Linked DNA regions of Alligator mississippiensis. The protein of the gene in region 2 purifies or fractionates together with the protein of the main gene of each other region. This does not show direct contact. Links are inferred from orthologs where the notes say so. Each region holds a gene or a part of one and is shown on either strand. Other genes may lie near its edges.

Evidence for each region. Proteins that work in one complex are often made in the same cells at the same time.
Region 1: the proteins of SNRNP70 (region 2) and SNRPD1 purify together in Homo sapiens (affinity purification with mass spectrometry; 6 studies listed by BioGRID and IntAct, counting the BioPlex papers as one, with this or other methods). This does not show direct contact. The link is inferred for Alligator mississippiensis from reciprocal best matches to the Homo sapiens genes SNRNP70 and SNRPD1.

What each region holds. Positions count from the first base shown.
Region 1 is NC_081828.1:137,213,964-137,221,463, reverse strand, and holds the start of SNRPD1 (small nuclear ribonucleoprotein Sm D1), read right to left. Parts: upstream 3,060-7,500; 5' UTR 2,922-3,059; coding exon 2,908-2,921; intron 2,277-2,907; coding exon 2,200-2,276; intron 1-2,199. UniProt on the Homo sapiens protein: Plays a role in pre-mRNA splicing as a core component of the spliceosomal U1, U2, U4 and U5 small nuclear ribonucleoproteins (snRNPs), the building blocks of the spliceosome.
Region 2 is NC_081828.1:39,883,678-39,890,737, forward strand, and holds the start of SNRNP70 (U1 small nuclear ribonucleoprotein 70 kDa), read right to left. Parts: upstream 3,065-7,060; 5' UTR 2,955-3,064; intron 2,652-2,954; 5' UTR 2,642-2,651; coding exon 2,495-2,641; intron 2,332-2,494; coding exon 2,269-2,331; intron 1,518-2,268; coding exon 1,463-1,517; intron 1,284-1,462; coding exon 1,219-1,283; intron 1,029-1,218; coding exon 966-1,028; intron 1-965. Other genes in the region: KCNA7 (potassium voltage-gated channel subfamily A member 7), read left to right, coding at 6,286-6,843. UniProt on the Homo sapiens protein: Component of the spliceosomal U1 snRNP, which is essential for recognition of the pre-mRNA 5' splice-site and the subsequent assembly of the spliceosome. SNRNP70 binds to the loop I region of U1-snRNA.

The DNA of each region.
Region 1 (7,500 bases), about 97 Mb from region 2:
GAGTCCCCTACCTCACTCAACACATCTCACTAGCAGCATAAATTTAATTTGTTCCTTAAGCACCGCTCATCCTATCACTGGATCCAGGCAGTAGCTCTGCAGGGAAAATAGCCCAATCATGTAAGTGCTATGATAAAGGAGACAAAATTAATGGACAACCTTCTTAATTCTGGGATTTCCTATATATACAATTGTATACCATTTCCTATATATTTTTACATAAAAGCAAATCTAATATTTGTTCTTGAAACAACACCTCTCCCCCATCATTAAAAATGCAAGAATCCTGAACCTCCAGTACAGGTCTTTCACATTTAATGCAAAAGACTGATTACCCAGCTCGCAGCAACAGAAAGTCACTTTCTTCTGCGGCCCAGCCATTAAAGGACAGCCCAACAGACTGAAACACCAGCTACATCTCCAGGAACTTCAACCACAAAGAGATGGTGTGTTCCATACAGTGATCATTTAAGAAAACTGTGTTACATTCCACATTTGTACACCCCCTCATCATTTGCTGTCCTCACATTGTTCACTTGGCTTCTGCCCCAGTACCTCTTCCCCCCCCTACAGTCTGCGTCTGCCTTGCCCATTTAAACTGCAGGTTCTTTGAAGTAGTATAAGATTGTGAAAAAAACAGGATTATGGCCAGGAGGAATATAAACAAACAAAAATTTTAGCTCCTCTAAAAGTGGAAGGGGAGCTAGTCCTGGGGAGTGTGCTACTACTGTTAAGATGCAACTATTACAGCTGTGAATGCTTGTGGCCATACAAAAGTTAACCTTTAAGCCTGGAAGCACTGCTAAAGTTGGAAATACTTTTATAGTGATACAAGTGTAGCAAAACAGATCAGGTTTTAGAGCACCCTGCAAATCTGTACTGGTTTAACTAAGGTTTTACTACTTTAAAAAGTTTTGCCATTTAGCTATGCTTACAAAGTAAGAGAGGCAAAAACCCATGCTGCAGATGCCCATACCTGCATCAAAATTTGTATGTGGCTACAGTTTATTCATTTGGAAAAGTAAAATAAAATATAAATGAAAAAATGTATCAAGCAGGCATAACTATATGCACACAAACACTTCTACTGACATAATTATGAAGTGGAAGGGTTGGGGGACGACTTTCTCCCCTTAGCATCCTCACTATGTTGGTAAGACTTTAAGTGGAGAAGTTTAAATCAATTTTGTAAACGTGCCTTTAGTTAATCCAGTGCAAGTTTGTGTGTAAACAAGACCCAAGAGGGATATTGCCACAGCCACTTGTGTGTTGAGACCTGGTTCTTATGATCAACCCACTAGCTCTCAGCATCTCCCAAAACAACTCATTAGAAAGTTAAACGATATTAGAAAATAATATTCTTCCTTCTTGATTTATTACCATGACTATCTATGATCTGTAAACCAGAGTCTTCGAAGCATTTTCATGGCAGTCTATGAGAACCGCTGGCAGGTCAGTGCTAGCTTAGCGCGCTGCTTCCATGGCCCTAGTGGCTTCTACAGGCAGCCAGGCTCTCGCAAGAGCCCCTTCCCTTATAAAAAAGAGCCCAGCTACCTGTAAAACCAGACAGAGACACGGACTGCAAGCATCAATTTCTAGCAAGAGGGGTAAGTTATGTTAATGAACATGCTGGAAAGCAAATGATGTAGACGGGCAGCATAATCAGAGCTGACAGCACTAACGGCCACCAGGCACACACGAGAGCAGAAGGTCAGAGGGAGACACAGAACATAACAGAACTGATTGGTAAGGATTCCCATAAAGAAGATACTTATTATTCTAAATAGCATCCAAAAAACTGCAAATCTCTGCTCCTTTGGCATTTAGCAACAGCTGCTTATTGTAAAGGAGACCAGAGGGAGTCTAGATGACCACGACTATGGGCAGCCCTAACAATCTGTATTTGGGCGAGATCTAGATTATTAGAGGTCCAAAACATCCATTCATTGTCTTCTGGACCAACTGCTAACCTTTACATGAGACATCTTTATTACCTGAACACCCAGCACTGATACACAAATAAAAAATATGAATTGACATTCTTTATCCTAGTGCTTGGATGCAATCGCAGGAACTTGGCCACCAGACATTTCACAAGAGGTGTCCCGAAACATCAATATTTAGGGAAGGCGGTGGAGTTGCTTGGGAAGACAGAGGGGGTTTTCCAGCCGTGCTTTATCAACAACTGGAGCCTCCTACCTGTGATGGTGCCATGCACCTGCGTGCCATTCTTCAGTTCGATGGTGACAGTCTCGTGGCTCAGCTTCATCAGAAACCTGCGGAACGAACCACAGGTAAACACACACATCTTCTGTGCCCAACACACAGTTAAAAACACATCCTAACGATGGAACACGGCAAGGCCGTGATGAGCACACATTAACGATGCTGGGGGGCTTCAAAGCAGCACCCAATAATGTAGGAATCCATCAGGGACCTGCAGCCCCTTGCCAGGGACCTTCAGGCAGGTGCAACAAAGGCAGGAATGGGCACCCCAGGGGCAGACATCCCAACTCCCCCCACCTGAGTTCAGCAACTCTGCTGGGGCAGGGGACATGCATGTGTGCGTGTGCCCCACCCTGCACATACGGCCTCGTGTCGGCCGCTCCCAAAGTTTGGTCCATGGGACCGAACCTTGGGAGCAGCCGGCGCGCGGGGCCGTATGTGCATGCGCAGTGTGCGCGCGTGTATTGGGGGGGCTCCGAAGCCCCTCGCGGGGGTCTCGGCGCAGTGTGACCCGGGCAGGTGAGGGGGAAGAAAGGAGCAGACAAGGAGCGCGAGGCTCCGTGAGGGGCAGCGGGCGTTGGGGGTGTGAGGCAGGAGGCGGGAAAGGCCCAGGCCCGGCGCGCGCCACTCCCCGCCGCCGGGGCCCGCTCCTAAATCCGGCTCCATCCGGGCCCTCCTCACCTCACGAGCTTCATGGCGGCAGCCGAGACCGCGGGAAGCAAACGGCCGGAGAAAAAAAGAGAAAAAAATTGAGCCCGGTGCGGAGGCCTCAGACCAGGCCGCGCCGGAGGCTCGCGCCAAGGAAGCGGCAAAAGCTACTAACAAATGAATGGGCGGAAGCGGCACCGGAAGTGCGTGTGAACGCGCGGCCGCCACCTGCTGGCTAGGGGGAGGCCTAGCAGCGTCTGCAAGCGCCGCGCGTGAGCAGTGGACTCCTGGGCGGGGCGGGAGTGGAGGCCAGAGGACACCGGATTGGTTCGGCCCCCGAGTGGCGGGCTTCAGTCACGTGCCCCAGCTTGAATCCGGGCAGGAGGTGGGCCGGCCGCATTGACTGCTTTCTTTTACTTGCTCAGCCCAGTGCGGGGGCGGGGGGGAGGAGGAGGAGGACAACGGGTCCCAGCGGAGGGGGCAGAAGTGGCATGAACGGGAGTTGTAGGAGAAACCCGGAGGTTTCCAATAGGAAGCCCCAGTGCCAAACCCTGCTGCAGCCAAATACTTTTGTCTTATTACAAAAAAAAAAAATAAATAAATGGAAAAAACTTAAGAGCAGGGAGGGCATCCCTCCTTGGTTTAAACGTTGCCCCCCCCCCCATCTTGTTTTCATTTAATTGGTGGAAATACATGACATTCACTTGTCCATGCCATTCTATTGGCTGTGCCTAGAGCTAGGTCAGGGCACAGCTAGGAAAAGCAGGGCTCCCAGGGAGAGGGGCCAAGGCCTTTTTCTGTGATGGCTCCACCCTTTGTCACTGATTGGCCAAAGGGTCCTATAGGTCCAGCCCTTGCTGCCAATTGGTCATGGAGACATACCTCTTGCTGCTGATTGGCCGAGGGGGCCATCTCTCAGCAAGGGGCTACCCTGGATTCTGGGAATGTCAGGGGTTCCCTACCTGGGGGGGCTCCCCAAGTCCTGGGTCCAGTGCTGGGAAGCCAGGCAGCTAGAACACCTGCTTGCTAGTGCACAATATCCCCCTTGTGCAGACCTCTCCTTGGCATTCTTAACCAATCCACAAGAAAAAAAAAAGGGGGGGGGGGGGTTTCTTTTGGGGAAGGGACAAGAACCTGACAGCAAGTAATGAGAGTTGTCGGGGAAACAAAAATTGTGGAAATAAATTTCCTCTCTTTAGTCAAGCTGTCACAGGTCAGATACTAAACTGCTGGTTTTCAATAAGGGGTGGATCCAGCCCCTTCAAAAAAACACTACTTTCTCATTTTTTTATATTTAATGAGTCAGATACTCTAGTTCTCCCCGTACCCCTCAGATGCTCCAGTTCTCTGACCCCACCCCTCCCCTGCAGATGGTCAGAAACATCTACAGAAACACTGAAATACATTTTAAAATGTTGCAGGAGTGAGTGTTTTGATACAGGACGTATGAGTAGTCACTTCCTTGGTCACGTTTTTTGTTAAAAAGAGGATATATAAAGCAAAAACGTAGAAGAAACTGTGTGGGCCAGGCCCCGATCCCGCCGCCAAGTGCGAGTCGGGAGGGGCGATCCGTGGCCCGTCTTTTGCACACGTGGGCTGTGGCCAGCAGCCCGGGCACACGGGGTCGGAGAAAACCAGCGGTGAGCTAGAATCAGTCACAAACGCGTAGTGGTTGATTGAAAAGATTATTTACTTACACCCAAAGATGGTAGTGGTATAGGCTGGACAGCTTTCCAGGTGCAGCTCCGCTTAAATCCTCGCTGGAAGACTACGACAAATTCCTTCCCATGGAGTTGTTTAGGCTCCACAGGTTCGGCAATTCTTTCCCACGGAGTTGTTGAAGCTGCACGGGCTCAGTTCGGTTCCCTGGTCCCCCGGAGTTGTTAAGGCTCCGTGGGTTCAAAAATTGGGTTTACAGGAAAGGGATACGTCTGGGATTGCGCTCGGCGACGGGGAGAGGCTGGAGGCGGTTCGTTCTTTTTCCTTTTTCCCTCCAGAGTAGTTAGAGCTCTGGGGGCTTGATTATTAAGCCTTTATTGCCTGCTTGAGACGCGTTGGGTCCGTGAGGATCCGCAGTGCTTAGAGATCTTCACACTGGGTGAAGTCTCCTCCTCCTGGTGTTCGTGGAGTCCTCCAACTTGGGCGGAAACAACTCGAGCCTTTTGTACAGCTAGCAAGCCAATAGCTAGCCGCCACGCGTGCCTACATTCAGAGCCGGCCAATAAAGTGGCGCGAATCTGAATACAAATGGCGAGAACTCCTTTGCACCGTACATCTCTGAGATGCAAAAGAAATGCACCCTGCAAAGAAGCTGCAAATTGGTGGGAAATCCCCTGTTGCACCAGAGTTCTCTCCCGCAGCAGAGAACTCTACCGTGCAAAGAAAGCTACAATTTAGGCGGGAACAATAATTTAGCGGTGCCAAAGCACACACAAACAAAAACCACAACTTTGGGTTGTGACAGAAACCAACCATAGTACTAGTCTTCACCCCTCACACTTGTGTAGGCAATACAGAACAAGCTTAAGGGGAGGAAATTATTATAACTAACTCATTTCTAGGCTTGCTTCCAAAAAGGAGAGAGAATTGTTATGCTAATTTGAGAATTTTCACATACTAATCATCCATTAAAATTAAGTGCAAAATAGTAGGACCTTGTATTCCCCCCCCCCATTAGGCCTTCCTCCAGTGTTGTTGAGTGCTGCTTGCCTATAAGGTACAATTAAAAATATTTACCTCTAAGGGAAAAAAAGACCAAAAAAAAAAAATCTAGAAAAGATTGAAATTTTATTGTAATTTATGGAGTACACCATATGTGAATTTAGAAATACAGACTTTGCAAAGTACTGAAGGAGAGACACCCTTCCAACTCTCAAAACATACATCAGGTCTTGCTACATAGGTACATTAACCATTCAAGTTTGGTCTTTGTTGCAAACTCTTAAACAGAGGATGCACAGAAGATTTACTTGAGCCACGTTTCAAAATGCCCCGCTAGTGAGACCTTCCAATCATTATTTTAAGCTATGATGCACGCTTATCTATTATGCAGTTATGTCTGAGATTAAGTTAGAGAAATTTCCAGTTCAACCATCAACCGATATTTCCATTATAGTATCTAAAAAGCTAGACAGGTATTTTGCTTTTTCCTTACTAGTATAAGTAATGTACAGATAACAGGTAATGTTTAAAAACAAAACCCAGAGAGGCCTTCAGAAACATTTGAGGTTAAAATGAACAATTACCATTGCAAAAAAACTGTACATATTTTCAATCATAACACAATGATACACTGCAGCATCAGTTTTGTGTACTAGTTTCAATAGTGACTAACAGTTGTGCTAACCCTAGTATTCTACATTTTTCTTCTAATATTTAAACTTCATAATTGCAATATGAATATACAGCTGTACTTACAAGAAATATTAAACAATGCACAGCGTCTTAAGCAAATTTCATGTCTGGTTTTCCTGAAACCATATAAAATAAAATGGCAAAATATTTTAAAATTGGTCCTTGATTAGGATTATCTATTTTTTTAAATACAGCTTGGAAGCACTAAATTTAAGACACACATTTATTGATAACTAACACAAATTATTTTTGTACCTTAGTCTTTTTTTTTTTTTTTTTTAAGAAGTGTTACAACATCATGCATGAAAAGCAAGTTGCTTTTGCTCCCAAGTGCAAAAAAATGGAATTTAAGAGAAGTCCATCTCCCCAGAGTTGTTTTCTTCCACAGGTTACCCCAAAATGTATAGAAGCAGTGACTAACAAAAAACAATGTGGAGTGCATCTTCTACATGGTGACTGTTCTTAAAATAAGGTAGTACTTTGGACCTTTAGCATAAGAGGGTTCAATAAACACAGTAGAAGGAGTTTTACATTCTTAGGTTTCATTTATATCTTGAGACAACTTGTATTTGAATTTGAATCGTGCTTAAGCTGTCAAACTGTAATACAGTATTGTCTGAAGACTGCAATATTTAGGCAGTGCCGACATTTGCTGCTTCAGAAATGTCTAATCACTTTCTTATTCTTCCCTCCCTAACAATGATTTAATTGAATATTGCATCAAAAGACAACACACATTTTAAACAAAGCATTAATACACATTTTTGTTTAAGTTTGGAGCAAACAGAGTGATATGTATACAAATAGGACTCTTGCTCACATGGACTATTATGACAAATGAAATTCAACTGTAAAATCTAGAAAGCAAACTCCACTTCCCTGTTCTTAGAGTGAAGTTATATTAGCTCAGAACATGATTTGAGTCTATCATAACACTCCAACATCTGGGTATGTTGACACATGAGCAGCACCACAGACCTCTCCCATCAAAATCACATAACTTGGCTGGAACTACCCTGCTCACCTGTCAGCTGAGTAGGCCTGTTAATACATCAACACACACCTAACACCAGCATCATTGTGGTTTCCACATGAAACTTACTTTGTTATGAGGGCAACCTTCACAACTAATGCAATATTCCAAAAGATCACTGTGACAAACTGAAATCAGATCTCAACTGTAAGGTACCACCACCAAAGTGATAATTTAGTTCTCTCCCAGAAAAGAAGAAAGTTAAAAAGACCACTACTTGGTGTGGAAAGCAGGTCAGT
Region 2 (7,060 bases):
GGGAAGGGCAGAGAGAACAAATGACAACAGCTATGTACCCATTGCCAAACCAGCCTCAGAATCCCCATCTCCGCTGACCAGCAGAGGGTGCTCTTGTATTCCTCTGGGTGGCTCAAATGGACCTGACAGCTGTGGAGATGACTTGCTGGCACCCCCTTGGCAGAGGGCAGCACTGGAGTTCCAGGAGAGGGAAAGATCCCCTTAAAGACTACTGCCATACAGGTGAACCACAGCCATAACACAAAGTACTTGAGTTTTCCCTGGTGGCAGCCAGCATGGCAGAGCCCACATGCTGGACTCTTAACCAACCACAAAGGCTTGTGGAATACTGTTCCCAATACCCCGGGACACAGCAGGGTAGTGTCAAAGGGGGCAGATTCTTGGTTGAGACTCTGCTGAATTGCCCAAGGGGCAAGTCAGCCCCTAACAATTCAGAGCAGGCACTAACACAGGCACCCGCTTCTCCTTTCACATAGCCCAGGGATTCAGGCTGCACCAGAAGCATCTTCCAGGACAGAGCCAGGCTGGGGCAGCCCATCACCCCATTTCCCTCATGGTTAAAGGCTCTTACAATACATATGGATTGGAAAAAAGCATCTGGATTCAGTGTCCATTGAGTGGATGCCATTGGCCACCAAACGATAAAAGGTTTTTCCTGGGGTGGGGAGGGATTAAGGTCTACCAGTGCTGAGCTGCTCACCAGGCCTGTGTGGTTACCCCAGTGACATGTAAGGGAGCAATGGGGCTGGCATCATGGCCAGGTGCCTTCCCCACCCTGAGCACAGGTGAGATGATGCCTGTTTATAGCTGGGTCAACAGTAGGTGGCCACTGGCACATGCCCTGAAAGGGGGTTTGGATTCACACTAAGGGTGCAGAATTTGGCACTGTCTCCATGCCTGGGCTTTCCTTGCTGTGAAGAAGCTGAAACAGCTTCGTGGGCACGATGCAGAAGGTGGGTTCTTACCCGCTTGATAGGGCCATAGACTTCAAATTCTCTTCTCAGCTTGGATTCTGTTGTGTCGTAGTTCTACAGGGTTTAAAGGACAGGCTGGTGAGGATTCAGGAAGATCAGGGGGCAGGGGGAAGGGAAGAGGATAGGAACCCCGGAAAAGGATCCCCCCTGACCCTAATGGTAAAAACCAAGATTAGACGCAGGTAAGTAATATGGAAGCTGTTTCTACACAGTATAAGAGGCAAGGAGAAGGGGAGACACTTACTACTCTGGCCACAAATAGGGTCTTGAAGGCATCACCCTGTGCATTGGGGTCGTTGTGTGGGTCCCCTGGATGGGCAGAAAACAAGGATATGTATAAGAGGTGGGCAAAGAGAACCCCTCACCCCCACAGTCACTGGGTGGCCTCCCACCCAAGTCAGAAGTGGGATAAGTCACAGCTGAGGATGGGCAGAGGCTGCAGAGCTAGGTTAGATGAACCGGAGCAGGAACCTCACCCCCTCACTTACACATCTTCAGCTCACTCTCCACCTCTTGCTGCCTCCGCTCAATCTTCTCTCTTCTCTGCAGAAAGGAAAATGAACAGGTAACAGCTGGTAGCTTTCCCCAGGTCCAGAAAGTGCTGGAAACCCCTCCCAGGGGAACCGGTAATCCCAGGGGGTAACAGGGGAGGTGGTGGAGCTGCATCAGGTAACTACCTGGTTGCTATGGGACAGGCTTGGGGTTGTTTCCCCAGTTGCTATGGCTCAAGACTGGGGGCCTTGCCCTGACTACTATGGCCTAGGTCATGGGATCATCATTCTGGTTACTATGGCACAGATCACAAACCATGACTTTTAAAGATACCACTGTTTCACCCTCAACATGCTCTGAGGGGTTGTTATCTTCAACTTGTAGATGGGGCTACTGGGGACCTCACCTCCAAAGTAAGCCAAGGCCAAGGACAAAACTGTCACAAAATACAACCCACCAGTCCTGGCTCCTAGCTCCCCAACTCCACTCAATCCCATTCCTCTCCTCTCTAGGGACAGAACCCAGACATCCAGGTTCCCAGCTCTTTAACCCACTAGGCTAGAGCAGAAAAGAGAAATAGACCCAGAACATCTGGGTTCTTTTTCCTGTGCTGGAATCATTGGAGAAGAGAAACAACAGAGAATATTAGAGAGAATGCGGTAGTTAAGTTTCACCCAAACTTGCCCCTTTGCCACATAATACAGGGATGGCTTCTTAATGCCCCCAGCCCCTTTCTCCCACCACTGCTGGCTGTAACACCAGGGGGCACTGGGGTCCTCTGAAGCTGGCAGGGCAGTTGTACCTTCCGCTCCATCCGCTCTTCACGGGTCTCGGCACGGGTGGGTGGAGGGGCATCACGTGGGTCCTGGAAGAGAGAAAGCAGCATAGTGGCAGGGCACCAAGGAGACATAAGGGTAGCCTGAACTGGCAGAGGGCAAACTTGGTGGCTTCAGAGCAAAGAAACAGAGAGAGAGTCCAGCATTAGCCAGTCCAGGCTAGGCTGCTGGGTGGGAGCAGTGAGCACTCACCTCAAACTCCCGGATGTAAGGGGCAATGCCAGAGTAGGGCTGGTTGTGGTGTTTCTCATGGGGCAGCTTCTCCAGAGGGGGCAGATAAGGGATGGGGTCTCGGGGGGCAAAGAGTGCCAGCAAGTTGGGGGGGAGGAACTGCGTCATCGTGGGGAATCTGATGGGGAAACAGCAGACAATGACCCGTCAGGAGCCTGCATGGAGCGCTGCCCCCGCCATGAACCCTGTTGGGCTGCAGACCCTCTTCCCCCATGTCCCCCCCCACAACACCGCTGCTCCTCCTGCCTGCCCCAACCTCCTCTCCCAACTGGGCTCGAGCCCAGCCCGCCCCCTTCCCACCGAGCCCTCCTCCCTCCCCACACACCCACCCCAGTCCCCCTCCCAGACCCTGCCCCATACGCCACTCCCTTCTCCCCCAACCCCCCTGCTCCTTCCCGCCCTCCCTCCCTCATCCACCCACCGCCCGGGCCGCGCCGCGCTCAGCTCCTCCTGCTGCTGCCGTCGCCGCCTGCCGCGGGCCTACTCTTCCGCCGCTCTGCGCAGGCGCAACCCTCTCACCGCGCCGGATTTCTCCGCTGCCGGGCCTAGTCTCGGAGGCAGCGCGAGACTCGCGGTAAGTTCGCGAGTGTCAAAATCGAGGCTCTTCCGCGGTCGCCGTCGGAAAATAGTCCCGGATCACGGGGAGGGGGGAAGGGAAGGGCGGGAGGCGGAGCCACGTGACAGTACGGGGACCGCCCCAGGTCAGTGCCATGCAACCAGGGTGACGGCCCCAGACGTGTGCCATAGCAACCAGAACCATGACCCCTGACCTGGGCCCTAGCAACTCAGCCAGTGACCCCTTACCAGTGCCTTGGCAACCCGAACCATGACTCCAGACCTGTGCCATAGCAGCTAAGGCAATGACCCCTGACCTGTGCCTTAGCAACCAAAACCATGACCCCAACTCATGCCTTAACAACCAGAACCTGACCTGTGTCAAAGCAAATGAGGCAATGATCCCTGACCTGTGCCATAGCAACCAGAACCACAACCGCTGACCAGTCCCATACAAACAAGAATGACTCTGACCTAGGCCCTAGTAACCAGGACAAGGACTCCAGTGCCATGCCATTGCAACTGGAGAAACAACCCCAGGCCTGTGTCCTCGCAACCACACGATAACCCTGACCTATGCCACAGCAGCTGGGGATACCACCCCAGGCCTATGCTATAGCAACAGACATAAGCACCAAATTTTATTTTTTTGCCAGTGTGGGCCCTGAGATGATGGGCATGTGGAAAGTTTTATGCATTTCAGGTGACACCCCGCTTCACGTGGGGGGCCAGTGACCTTGGGCCCCCACGTACTTGGCTCCTCTGACAACAGAACAATGACTGCTGACCTGTGCCATAGTAATCACAACAATGACCCCTGACCCAGGTCTTAGAAACCAGGGCATTGAGTCCTGACACATGCCACGGAAACTGAAGAAATGGCCCCTGATCCAAGCCACAGCAACAAGGGCAATGGTCTGTGACTTGCGCCATAGCAAAAGCAGCAGTGCCACCTAACCCATGCCATAGTAACTGCAACAATAAGCTCTGACCCAGGCCATAGCAAGTATGGCAGTGAACTGTGACCCATGCTATAGTAACCAGGGCAAAGACCCTAGACCTCTGCCATACCAACTGGGACAACAATCCCTGACCATTTCCATAGCAACCAGAATGGTGACCCCTGATCCATGCCATAGCAACAGGGGAACAACCTCAGGTCTGTGCCATAGCAACTGGATAATGACCCCTGACTCGTGCCATAGTAACCAGAACAATCACACCTGACCTCTGCTATGTCAACCAGAGCATTGACTGCTGATCTGCTATAGTAACCACAAAGATTACCTCTGACCAATGCCATAGCAACTGGGACAATGATCCCTGACCTGTACCATAGCAGCCAGGGCTCAGAAAGCAGGGTGACAACCCCTAATTTATGCTATAGCAACCAGGGCAAAGACCTCTGACCCATGTCTTACAAATCGTTGAATCACAAGAGCCTCCATACCCCAGGCCTGCCCAGTGGTGCCCCTGGACCCATATGTCCCAGGCCTGCTTCTGGTAAGGCCCAGTGGCCTGAAGAGGGAGAAAGAGATAACCGTGGGGGGCAGAAGAGGACACCATTCACCTGGAAGGGACACTGACTTTTTTTTTTTTGGGGGGGGGGGGGAGGATTAAAAAAAAATATATATGTATATATATATGTGTGTGTGTGTATATGTGTATGTATGTGTATATATATATATATATATATATATATACACACACACAGAGCATCCTGGATAAGCATTTCTACACAAACCTTAAAATGCATTTAAAAGCTGTGCACCTGTTACAATGGTCACCCTGGGACACTGACCCACCACACACACACAGAGCAAGCAGGGGGGAGCAGAAGGTGTCTGAGACAGTGAGAGGGATGGGGTCTGGTGAGTTAGAGCAAGGCAGGGGGTTGGGAGTCAGGATGGGTCCTATTGCAGCTCTGGAAGGGGAGTGCAGTCTGGGGGTGAGACCAGGGGGAACTGGGAGTCAGAGCACCTGGGTTCTCTCCCAGCTCTGGGAAAAGAATTGGGGTTGGCAGGTTACAGCAGGAGGGCATGGAGCCAGGACTCCGGGGTTCCAGCTCCAGCTCTAAGTTTACTAGGTTAATTAACTGTGTCATGTTTAATTAGGTTTCTTAGGAATTACTGCCTGGGAGGTGTCAAACCACCCAAACAAGCTATAGGATAGATCAGCAGTCAATGCTCTGGTTGCCATAGCAGAGGTCAGGTGTGATTGTTCTGATTACTATGGCACGAGTCAGGGGTCATTGTCCAGTTGCTATGGCACAGTCCTGAACACCTCTCCCTGCCTGTGATGGAAGGGACACCAGTGTCTGTAACCTATGGCCTTGACCCTCATCTTACACCCAGGCCCTTCTTCCAACCTGCCAGACCCCACTTCCCTCCCAGAGCTGGCATTGAACCCAGGAGTCCTGGCTCCTAGTCCTCTCTTCCTCTATTAGACTCCACTCCCCTCTCAGAGCTGGGCAAGAACCCAGGCGTCCAGGCTTCCAGCACCCCGGGTGCCCTGCCTTCCTTTGCAACCCTGTCCTCGGGAGTTGTCCTCCCCCTGCTATTTTTAGCACCCCCAGAGCTAAGTGTGGCTGGGGTGGGGAGGGCAGTGGGGAGGGGGCGGGTACTGAATTTTGGCACAGGGGGGCTAGGAGTCTGTGCAGCCCGGCAACATGACACCTCCCTGGTCTGAGAAAGTGTTTACAGGCAGAGGACCTGAGCACTGGCATTGGGACGGACAGACGGACAGAACAGTCTGGGGTAAAGAACCTGGGTGGGGGGGGGGGGAGCAGCAGAAAAGAAGGGAATGCCAAGCAAAGGGGCTGCTGGGAGGGTCCCGAGGTGGAAAGTGGAGGGGATAAGACTGGTCCATTAGAAAAAAACTGAGAGAGAGAGAAAAAGGAGAGAAAAACGGGAAGAAGAGGAAAGCGCCTGTAGGGGAGGAAGATAGTGGGACAGAAGGAGCTGGTCAGAGCAGTGGGGAGACAGAGTGGAGTGAGTAAGGTGGGGGGTGGAATTTGTGGAGTGAATTAAGGACCGTGTCAGTGCCAGAAACGAAGGGAGGGGGGAACCCACGGTAGAAGAGACGAGACGCATCAGTGGAAAGAGGAGCCGAGGCCGGACGAAGGGGCCCAGGCCACAGCAGGAAGCCCCCACCCACTGGCCCATGGCCCCCAGCCCCACGCTCTGAGTGTGCCAGACATGGAGAAGCCCCTGGCTGAGCCAGGGGGCCCCTACCCACTCTGCCCACACAAGGACTGCTGCGAGCGGGTGGTCATCAACGTCTCGGGGCTGCGCTTTGAGACACAAGTCAAGACGCTGCGCCAGTTTCCTGATACGCTGCTGGGTGACCCTCGGCGCAGGGTGCACTACTTTGACCCACTGCGCAACGAGTATTTCTTCGACCGCAACCGGCCCTGCTTCGACTCCATCCTATACTACTACCAGTCAGGTGGACGGCTGCGGCGCCCTGCCAACGTGCCCATCGACATCTTTCTGGAGGAGCTCAAGTTCTACCAGCTGGGCGAAGATGCCCTCACCAAATTCCGGGAGGATGAGGGCTTCATCAAGGAGGAGGAGCGGGCATTGCCTGAGCGGGAGTTCCTTAAGCAGGTGTGGCTGCTTTTTGAGTACCCTGAAAGCTCACAGGCTGCTCGTATCATCGCCATCATCTCCGTCCTTGTCATCCTCATCTCCATTGTCATCTTCTGCCTCGAGACCCTGCCTGAGTTCCGGGATGAGCAAGATATTTCCCTCCCGGTGAGTGATGGGGAAACAAAGCAGGGGTGTCTGGACCCTTTGGCTGGGCCTTGTCTGGGTCCCTTTGTCCCCAAGAGCCAGTGGGTGATGTGTCCACCCCAATGCCACAGTCCAGTCTACCCAACAGCCTGTCCTGGGGTCCCATTAGCTCTTGTACCCCATCCCTTCTACCCTCACCAGCAGACAGCTGCCCCCAATGCCCCACCACCCCACTGTG